Cricetulus griseus: one gene and its partners. The protein of the gene in region 1 binds, or shares a complex with, the protein of each later gene. Links are inferred from orthologs where the notes say so. Each region holds a gene or a part of one and is shown on either strand. Other genes may lie near its edges.

What was found.
Region 2: Taf12 (region 1) and Tada3 share a complex: the UniProt entries of both Homo sapiens proteins name them as parts of the STAGA transcription coactivator-HAT complex. The link is inferred for Cricetulus griseus from reciprocal best matches to the Homo sapiens genes TAF12 and TADA3.
Region 3: Taf12 (region 1) and Taf13 share a complex: the UniProt entries of both Homo sapiens proteins name them as parts of the TFIID basal transcription factor complex. The link is inferred for Cricetulus griseus from reciprocal best matches to the Homo sapiens genes TAF12 and TAF13.

Annotation. Positions count from the first base shown.
Region 1 is NC_048595.1:20,968,481-20,972,135, forward strand, and holds part of Taf12 (transcription initiation factor TFIID subunit 12), read right to left. Parts: intron 3,438-3,655; exon of another isoform or gene 3,373-3,437; intron 608-3,372; coding exon 356-607; intron 1-355. UniProt on the Homo sapiens protein: The TFIID basal transcription factor complex plays a major role in the initiation of RNA polymerase II (Pol II)-dependent transcription.
Region 2 is NC_048601.1:31,429,560-31,433,214, reverse strand, and holds part of Tada3 (transcriptional adapter 3), read right to left. Parts: intron 3,641-3,655; exon of another isoform or gene 3,554-3,640; intron 3,171-3,553; coding exon 3,061-3,170; intron 2,510-3,060; coding exon 2,324-2,509; intron 323-2,323; coding exon 130-322; 3' UTR 1-129. UniProt on the Homo sapiens protein: Functions as a component of the PCAF complex. The PCAF complex is capable of efficiently acetylating histones in a nucleosomal context. The PCAF complex could be considered as the human version of the yeast SAGA complex.
Region 3 is NW_023276806.1:48,539,795-48,543,134, forward strand, and holds the end of Taf13 (transcription initiation factor TFIID subunit 13), read right to left. Parts: intron 1,752-3,340; coding exon 1,581-1,751; 3' UTR 626-1,580; downstream 1-625. UniProt on the Homo sapiens protein: The TFIID basal transcription factor complex plays a major role in the initiation of RNA polymerase II (Pol II)-dependent transcription.

The sequences.
Region 1 (3,655 bases):
AATGTGTTATATGGAAACACACAGTCATATATAACAGTAAAAACTGATATATATTGAATTGTAGACAATTCAATAAAAATGCTATTATATACCAAAGGGGAAAGACCTTTTTCTTTATTTTATCCCCCTCCCAGCAGGGTTTCTCTGTGTAGTTCTGGCTGTCCTGGAACTCACTCTGTAGACCAGGCTGGCCTTGGACTGTCTCCCAAGGGCTGGGATTAAACTTATGGGCCACCACTGCTCAGCTTGGAAAAGACTTCAACAGAGAGAATGAGCTCCTGTTATGTCCACCTCTGTGCATATTATAGGTCCAAATGAGAGAGAGGGTCTACAGAGAAGGAAAGCTAAGAGGTACCTGATTGTTTTCAGGGCTAAGACGACCGCCTGTCCCAGGAGTGCCTGGTATCTTTACTACAGTGGTGCTATTGGCCATGGAGCCTTGTGGAGGGGTGCTGGCTGGCTCTGGCTTTATAGATGAGAAATTGGAGAGGTTGATTAGGGCTGAGGGGCCAAACTGGTTCATAATCTGCCGAGCTTTGGACTTCAGCTCATAGAGTTTATCAAGATCCTGCTTCTTTTTGGAGCTGTGAGGACCAAGGCCAATCAGCTGGAGAAGGAAAATAGAGACACTGGAGTTACTCTAGAGACACCTGCAGGAGGAGATCTGTCAAGATCTGTCAGTCGTGAGTCTTTGGTGTATCCAGGAGGGTGATTACTTGATAGTGACAAAAAATAGAGTGAATGGAGAATATGCATTGCTTACACCTGGTTTTAGAGACCATCTTGTCTCCAAAATCGAACTGAAACAGTTCACAAAATTGAAATGAGGAAAAAGTAAATGAAATGAGGAATCTTGTTTTCAAAAATAAACTAGAATAAGCAAGACATTTTAAAGGAATTCATACAAGCAGAATACTGGGTTAAGTACTTACATGCATTATTTAAATATGAAATCATGTTAAATTCAAATAAATAGCACAGTCACATACTTAAAACTCAGTCACAAAGCTTAAGAAAATGATTAGTTCATTTTCAAGACATGTTGAAGCATTTCAAAACATGCTTAAATCCAAGGCCGGGCTCTGCCCAGGAAACACAACTTTTAGCAATTGTTAAAAGCTCTGCTTTACCATAAGGAACTTTTCCCCCTTTGTGTTTTAGCAATCTTGAAGTCATGCTGAGACCTTCACCTAAAGCAGCTGCAACTCCTATTAGAGCCATAGGCTGACTCTGTGAACATTGGCTGTGGTGTCAAGACCAGAAGCACATTCACCAAGTTCTGCCCACAGTGGCCTCAAGGAGTTTACTTACTGCTATCTGAGTGTCTAGATCTTTAATTACATCAGCAACAGCTGTAAGACCGGTGTAATGAGAGGCAGCCATTTTCAAAAGCTACCTGTAAACAAATAACTAGCATCAAGTACCACCCCTGCCACAGAAGTATTCCAGTTGTGTGGCAAGGTGCAACGTGACCAACCAGGATCCAGCAGAAGATGCAACTCAGTGGTAGAAAGCTTGCCTAGTATGTGTGAGGCCTTGGGCTTCATCACCCCATCAAGACAGTATTATAAAGTCAGGTGTGGCACGCTTTTAGTCCCAGCACTTGGAAGACAGAGACAAGGGGATCTCTGTGAGTTCGAGGACAGCCTGGTCTACAATGTGAGTTCCAGGATAGACAGCTGTTATACAGATAAACCCTGTCTCCAAAACAAACAAATGTTCTGCTTCTCCTGTTCTCTACCTCTCTTCATCACACAAGCAGAGGCAGATGGGCGGTGGCTGAACTCACTCTATTGACCAGGCTGTCTTGGAACTCACAGAGGTCCACCTACCTCTGCCTCCCAAGTGCTGGGATGAAAGGTGAGTGCCACACCTAACTTTATAAGGTGTGCTCCATCACTCCCAGAAACAAAAATCAGTATATTAAAAAGTTTGCCCACCAGGAATTGGTGGCGCATGCCTTTAAAGCCAGCACTCAGGAGGCAGAGGCAAGTGCATCTCTTTGAGTTCCAGGCAGGACAGGCTCCACAACAATACAAAGAAACCCTGCCTCGAAAAACAAAACAAAACCCCCCCAAAAGTTAAAACAAACAAACAAAAAAACAACAACAAAACCCAAAAAGTTTTGCCCATCTTGGTATTAACTCACTATGCTACCCATGTATTATGATGACTTTTTGTTTTTAAGATTTTATTTTTATTTATTATATATACAGTCTTCTGCCTGCATGCCAGCAGAGGGCACCAGATCTCATTCAAGGTGGTTGTGAGACATCATGTGGTTGCTGGGAATTGAACTCAGGACCTCTGGAAGAGCAGTCAGTGCTCTTAACCGCTGAGCCATCTCTCCAGCCCGATTCTTTTTTTTTTTTTTTTTTTTTTCTAAGATTTTATTTATTATGTATACAATGTTCTGCCAGCATGTATGCTTGCAGGTTGGAAGAGGGCAGTAGATCTCATTATAGATGGTTGTGAGCCACCATGTGGTTGCTGGTAATTGAAATCAGGACCTCTGGAAGAGCAGTCAGTGCTCTTAACCCCTGAGCCATCTCTCCAGCCCCATTCTTTATTTTTATTTCTTGTTTTTGTAATTGTTGTTTGTTTTTAGATAGGGTCTCACTCTGTTCCCCAGGTTGCCCTGGAAATTTACTATGGGACAACTGAACTCAAGAACAATCTTCCTGCTTTAGCCTCCCAAATGCTGGCATTATAGGCCAGAACCCTAAGACCCAGCTCATCCTTGGCTATATAGAGTTTGAAGCCAGAATGGGTTAGTGACACCGTCTCAGAAAAGACTGTAGTGGGCTGGAGAAATGGCTCAATGATTAAGAGCACATTTGCTCTTTCAAATGACCTGTGTTAAATTCCCAGCACTTACACCAAGTGATGTAACTCTGGCAGAACCCAGCACATCTGTATATAAACATATATTCAGGCAAAACAATAATACACATAAAAATAAACATCTGGGTGTGGTGGTGAATTCTTGGGCTTCATCCAAGCATCTAGGAGGCAGAGGCAGGTGATCTCTGAGTTAGAGGCAGCCTGGTCTACATAGAGTTCCAGGACAACCAGGACTTGGAGATAATATCCTGTCTCAATGCCCCTTCCTAATAATGAATAAATAGATATATAAATAATAAATAAGTACAAACAAATAAATATACAAACAAGATGCTGCTGTAGAGATGGCTCAGGGGTTAAGAGTACTTACTGCTCTTCCAGAGGACCCAGTTTCAATTCCCAGCACCCACATGGCAATTAACAAGTGTTCCAGGGGAACTGCCACCCACCCACCCATAGCAAAATACCAATACCAATGCACATAAAGAATATTCATATATCTATATGCTGGGCGATAGTGGCACACACCTTTAGTCCTAGCTCTTGGGAGGCACAAGCAGGCAGATCTCTCTGAGTTCAAGGCCAGACTGGTCTTACAGAGCGAGTTCCAGGATGCCAAAGTTCCAAAGCTACACAGAGAATCCCTGTCAAAAAAAAAAAAAAAAAAAAAACCATCACTCATTGGTGGTGCACACCTTTAATCCCAGCACTTGGGAGGCAGATGCAGGTGGATCTCTGAGTTTGAGGCCACCCTGGTCTACAGAGTGCCAGGATAGCCAGGGCTATGCAGAGAAACCCTGTCTCGAAAAAC
Region 2 (3,655 bases), on another chromosome or scaffold:
TGCCTGCTGGCTGCACAAAGCTCAGCTGAGTGGCCTGAGACTGTTGTCATTTGATGGGCAGCCCCCAGCCAAGGTTTCAAAGGAAGTGGGCTTCTGACAGGCCAGGGAGGAGGCCAGCAGCAGGTGATGCTACCCGTCCAGGAGCTTCAGGATGCTCTCTCGTTCTTTCAGGGTTTTCCAGGCCTGGTCCTTTTCCTTCTTTGTAGGGGTGCGCTTCTTCTGCCGGGCAGCCATGATCTTGCGAAAGGCATCCATGACCTCATTGTCTGCCATGCGGACCCGCTGTCTCAGCTCCTGCCGGCTCACCTCCTCCTTTGCCAACCTATGGGGGCCAAGTATCATGGTTATCCAATCTCCAGTTATCATCCTCTTCCAAACTGAGCCTCCTCACAATCCCGGCTCTCATTCCCCTCTGCTTATTAGAATTACAGATGTGCACAGCTGCACTGAGCTTCTTCAATCCTGTGGGGATCTGACTCAGTCCCACTGATGGTGGAGCTGAAGGTCTCTAGGAAATCTAATCCTTGTTGCTTGGGCCCAAAGTACCTTGCCCACAGTCCAGTAGCTGGAGCACAGCAGGGCCCAGGGCTGAGCTTCAGCACCAAAACATTTCCACAGCAAGCCATACCTCTGGAACTACACAGCATTGTTTTTAATCTCGTTTGGTCCTACCCTTGCTGCTCCTTGCCCTTGAAAGGGAACTTTTTATTTTGTTGTTGTTTTGAGACAGGGATTCTCTGTGTAACATTGCTGGCTATCCTGGAACTCTTTGTAGACCAGGTTGGCCTCAGAGATCCGCCTACCTATGCCTCCCAAGTACTGGGATTAAAGGTGTGTGCTACCACCTCCCAGCTTGCTTGTCTTAGAAGAAAGAAGGTACACAAGACCCTAGCAGACAGTGGGCACCATGGTTTCTTTATCCTCAGATCCCCATAAAGCTCAGCAGCAGCTGCCCCTCCCCTCTGAATGGCGTGTCTCCTCCGACCACCTAAGAGAACAGGAGTCTCCTTCTGCCTTCTTCCTGGCCCAGCACCAGGTCAGACACAGTAAGAGCTAGCCAGGTAATCAAGAACCTGCTTTGTCAAGGCTCTAAGAGGAACAAGAAGTCTTGCTTGAGTGCTAACAAAAGGGCAGCTCCTACCAATGCCCTTCACATGTAATCTCTACCCTTGTCACCAGTGCAAGGAAAGTCAGATGGGAGTTGATATAAAATGAATGACACTATGACTGATTCTAAGACACTAGTAAGTGTGGGGTGACCAGCCAATCAAAGCCATAGACAGCTAAGAGAACATTAGCAACTCATATGTCTGAGCATACTGATATTCATTATTTTCTCTATGATGTTTTTTATGTATGTTATATGTATACGTCTTCATATTGCACATGTATATGTGCATGCATGTGGAGGCCAGAGGTTGATACTGGATCTTTCTTTATCATGCTTCGCCTTATTTATTTTTCCTGTAGCTTAGGTATTCACTAGAGGGTTATATGCCATGGTGTGCATGTGGAGGCTAGAGGACAACTTGCAGGAGTTGGTTTTCTTTCTCTATCATCTGGGTTTTAGGTTTTAGGGATTGAAATCAAGTGGCCAGGCTTGGTGGTAAGTGCCTTTACCCACTGAGAAATGGCCTATTCTGCTAGGCTTGCCTCTCTGCCCACCCAAGCACTGGGGTTACAGATATGTTCTGCTGTGGCCAGCTTTCATGTGGGTGCTGTAGACTGAACGCAAGAGGTCAGGCTTGGTGGCAAGCATTTTCCCCACTGCAGATCTTCCCAGTGCCTCTGTGGTATTTTGATTGAATAATACCATAAAGAAAAAGAAAACACAGCCAGGTAGTGGTGGAGGTAGCACATCCCAGCACTTGGGCGGCAAAGGCAGGTGGATCTCAGTGAGTTTGAGGCCAGCCTGGTCTACTGGGTGAGTTCCAGAACAGCCAAGGTTACACAGAGAAACCCTGTCTTGAAAAAAAGAAAGAAAACACACATTTAAAAAAAAAAAACAAAAGCAACTTAACACTGTAAATATTACTAAATTATGCTTATCAATGGAGTCAGGGCTGAAGAGATGGCTCAGTGGTTAAGTGTGTACTACTCTTGCAGAGGACTGGGGTTTAGTTCCCAGCACCTACATTGGGCGTCTGGCAAAAACCAGTAACTTCATCAACTGCAGGGCAGCTGACACCACAGACACCTGCACTCATATTCACAGACCCATCCATATGTCAGTTGTGGGTGCTAGAGCCCTGTCCCTGGACTTAGCATCCATCAGAGATCCAACTGGGGGATAGGGCTAGTCCCTGGCACAGTGCTCACTCACCTCAGCAGGTCATGCTTCTTGGTGCGGTTGTGTGCACTGAGTGCCTTCAGCTCAGCCTGCCGTTTGCGCAGCTCAGCGAGGACCTCATCCTCTGAGTCCTCAGCAGGCCGGTCCTCGGACTCCAGGAGGCCCTGTGCAATCAGCTCCTCCTTGATGCGGCTCTCCAAGGACTTGGTGTGGGGCACACTGTAGGCAAGGCCAGCACCTGAGCTCTGAGCGCCAGCTGGAGGGCCCTCAGAGGATCCCAGTCTGGCAAGGTGAACCCATATAGCCACACATATATGTTTCAGGCCTTGTTATGTGTGAGTTGCAATCTTTTATGATATATATTTCCAAGATTTTTTAAAACTATATGTAACTCTTAAATATAGTTTAAGTACAAATAGGATTACTCCTTTCCCCCCATTTGGTACTCTGTTTTAATTCTTTCATGTCAAGTATATTTCTGTAATGATTAGCAGTTACAAGTTATTTCTTATGCAGTTTTAGCACTCAACTAGCCATTCCCTTCAGCTGGACACTTGGGTTATCTCCAGGAAAGGCAAAGGTATGATCAAGTCTGTACTAAGCCTGTCCAGAATCGAGGCCAGCACTTCCATGTGCTGTGCAAACATCTGTATAGCCAGATGTCTGTGCATGGTCAAATGGCCCCAGCCTCTGTTTACAAAGCATGCCCCCCTAAGAAGACAGAGAGAAGCTGACAGTCACGCCCAGAGTGCAGATGGTATGTCACTCACCTGAAGGGTTTGTTCTGATTTCGGGGAGAGGTGCTTGCGCCATCAGCCCCTGATTCTTTCCCAGACATGTCAGGAATAGGAGAGTCCTCCATAGGGGAAATAATATTTTCCTGAAGACCAGAGATAGGTTAGAAGGAGGAAGCAATAGAATCCCTGTTTTAATGCTCCTCTCTGACATACACAGTCTTTATAGGCTAGATAGAAATAGTCTGCCATCTTTTCATCCCACTCATGTTAAAAAGCTTCCTCCAATTCCAGCACTGAGGAGGCAGAGGCAGGCAGATCTCTGTGAGTTCGAAGCCAGTCTGGTCTACAGAGTAAGTTCCAGGACAGGCTCCTGTCTCAAAAAACAAAAACAAAAAAAGCTTCCTCCAAAGCTTTGATCATTATAGAAATTCTTTTATTGAGGGGAGGGGAATATGGACAGCAAAAGAAGGGGACACAAGAGAAACAGTGACAAGGAAATAACCTAGCACTGTTTTTTCCTCCACAGCAGCTGAGCTACACTACATTTCCCAGGCTCCACTGCAGTCAGATGGACTCATGGGACAAATTCTTCATTGGAAAGTGATCTAAAAAGGTAAGGCTCCCAGTC
Region 3 (3,340 bases), on another chromosome or scaffold:
GCCATCATGTAAATGCTGAGAAATGAATTTGAGTCTGAGTCCCTCTGGAAAAAGTAGCCTGTTTTCTTAACTCTGAACTATCTCTCCAACCCCTTCAATGGCTTTTTTAAATAAAATGATCAGCCCAGCCGGGCGTTGGTGGCGCATGCCTTTAATCCCAGCACTTGGGAGGCAGAGGCAGGTGGATCTCTGTGAGTTCGAGGCCAGCCTGGTCTACAAGAGCTAGTTCTAAAGCCACAGAGAAACCCTGTCTCGAAAAACCAAAAAAAAAAAAAAAAAAAAAAAAAAAAAAAAAAAAAAAAAAAAAAAGATCAGCCCAGGTATCTCATCATCAACTGAGGTACATTATAAAATAAGATAGAAAAGAATTTCTGCTATAACAAGATAAAACAACTAGGACTATCATACAGTGATGGATTCAGTATCATGGAGGGTATAAATCACAAACCCAGCCACATGTAATGGTACATTCCTTTAATTACCACACTCAGGAAGCAGAGGTAGACAGATTTCTGTGAGTTTGAAGCTAGCCTGGTATACAAAGCAAGTTTTAGGACAGACTACACAGAGAAACTGTCTTAAAAAATGTTTAATGTAAATAATAAATAAATCACAAACTCACATATTAGTGTGTTAAATTTTTCATTTTTTATTCCTTGTATCAGCAGATTAAGTAGGTGATATTTCCCCAACTACTGATTTAGAGATATTAAGAAGCACCAGTAAGTTTCACAGAGTAACATTCAGTAATCTCTTTAAATGCAATTTTAATCCTTATTATAAGCTAAATAGAACAATAATTTAATGCAATAAGCTAAGTATACACAAAGCCTGCATATCCTTGACTACAGAAATGGTTTGCACACACACACACACACACACACACACACACACAGGTTTAGTCAACTATACATTGTCACAATGGAAGTACTTATTATTTACGTAACTACACCACCCAAAATACCTGTCCTGACATCAGGGTTATAAGCTTTGCCATCCCTACTACTGAAAGCATTTATTTTCAGAAACTTTACTGTTACCAAGGAAGATGAGGTCCACTAACACTTAACAAATAGTAGTTTCTTTAAAAAAAAAAAAGTATTCTTTAGAAAATATTAAAATAAATGATCTACAAAGACAGATAAAGATTCTTACAAGAACTTAGTTCCTTAAAAGAAACACAAACCAGTTCATTCTCTGTAATAACTTCTCCTGCCATTGTCATAAAAACTTGAAATACATAAAGCACAAGCCTCAACTTTCATAAAGTCAAAAGAATATTTAGATTGCATATTATGCAGCTATAGTATATAGCTTGGAATACACAAGTCTACCTAAATACTACTTTACCTTTTTCAGATGGAACTACACAGTTGGCAATACTTTAAATTAGTAGTCATTAAAGCCTAGCAAAGAATTAAATATAGTCAGATAAAGACAGGCAATGAAAGGCTCAAATTATAAAGCTAAAATCGAATACCTCTTTCATTGCGTACCTAGCTATCATGATATTACTGTAGACAAGTTGTAATGTATGGTTTCCAAACAAAATATCAAAATTTCAGATATTACAAACAGTGTCAAGATCCATAGTTGGCTTCATCAAAGGCTTTTCTAGCCCGTTTCAATTCTTCATTCATAGTAAGTAAGTCTTTAACTCTAGCAAACTTCCTTGGGTCCTTTCGAATCAGGAAGACAATATCTTCAACTTGCACTCGTCCCTGTCTTCCAATCGACATTGCCTTGTGAGTCTATGACAAGGAAATATATAAATGGAGATTCACCAATACATAAGCATATAGGGTTCGGGTATATTTATTAGGTAAATATGCCTTACTTACAGTGCACTAGGCCAACCAGCAGGAAAGCAGAGCAAGTGGACACAGCAACGAGAAGAGAGCTTTCCTATGTGTGCCCCCGACTCTTAAGCTACCCTCATGTTATCCTGTCCATGCCCTATGTCCTTAAGACATTAAAACTACCAAAGTGAGCAGGACAAGTTAGCTGATACACACCTTTAACCCCAGCATGCAGGAGGCAGAAACAGGCAGATTTCTGTGAGTTCAAGGCAAGCCTGGTTTATATAAACATTTGTATATATCAAGTTCCTGGTTTATTGAGCAAGTTCCAGGCCAAACAGGATTACATAGTGAGATCCTGCCTCAAAAATAAATAATAAATACTAAAAATAACAAAATCTATCAAATTTGGAGATACTCCTGTTTTGTTTTGCGATATAGGTAGAGTTTTTGTTTTGTAGGGGATGAGGTGGTCTTGTTAAAGGTGTTCTTGGATGCTAGCAAATAATAACATTAGTTTAATAGCTTTGGAGGAAGGGAGGTTTATGGAGGCTAAATAGTAAGACTGCTTAGACCTTATATTCCAAAATCCATACTTGAAGACACATCTGTAACATTTATTGTTGTTTCTGAGACATCATCTCACTATATAACCTGGAATGCACTATGTAGACCAGCCTTGCCCTGAACTCAGGCCCACTTGTTCAATTCCTTACTGTTTATCTTTTGAGACAGGGTCCCTGTATATAGCCCAAGCTGGTCTCAATTGTAGCCATCCTCCTGCCTCTGCAACTAGCACATGTACCACACTACCCAGCTTTGTTCTTGTTTGTTGAGACAAGGTCTTGCTATGTAGATGAAGCTGATCTTGAAACTGGGGTCCTCCTGCCTCAGTCTCTTGAATGTTAACATGCTGAGATTATAGCCTCTCACACCTGGCTGTTTGTTAGTGTTTGTTTTTTTTTTGTTTATTGTGGGTTTTTTTTTTTTTTTTTGGTTTCATTCTTTCATTTTATTTTACTTTTTTAGATGGTTTCATTATGTAGCTCTGGATGGTCTAGAACTTACCATCCAGACCATAGACCAGGTTGGATTTTTTTTAACTTGTAGTGATACTCCTATCTGTCTCTGGAATTCTGGGATTGCAGGTATGATCCACTATGCCAGATTTTGTCATTTAATATGGTGCTGGGGACTGAACCCAGGGCCTCACACACATGCTAAGTGCATGATCTACCAGTACTACTGCTAATGTTTTCCTTCAGTGCTGCATTAAACCCAGGCCTTTACACATACTAGGCTTGGTTCTTCCACCAAGCTCAGCCTCTGCCCTTGCTGAGTAATTTTTTTCACTTTTATTCTGTAGTAAGGAAATAATCCAAAATAAGGGTGAACACTCATAACAACTAAATATAGCCACTCAGTAACCATATCCCTATTAATATATCCAAAAAAAGGAAAGGAAGAAATCCATAAAAGTGGTCATTCAAGATGTTAAACTCAGAGTTGGAGATGTAGCTTGGTGATCTGCATTTGCCAAG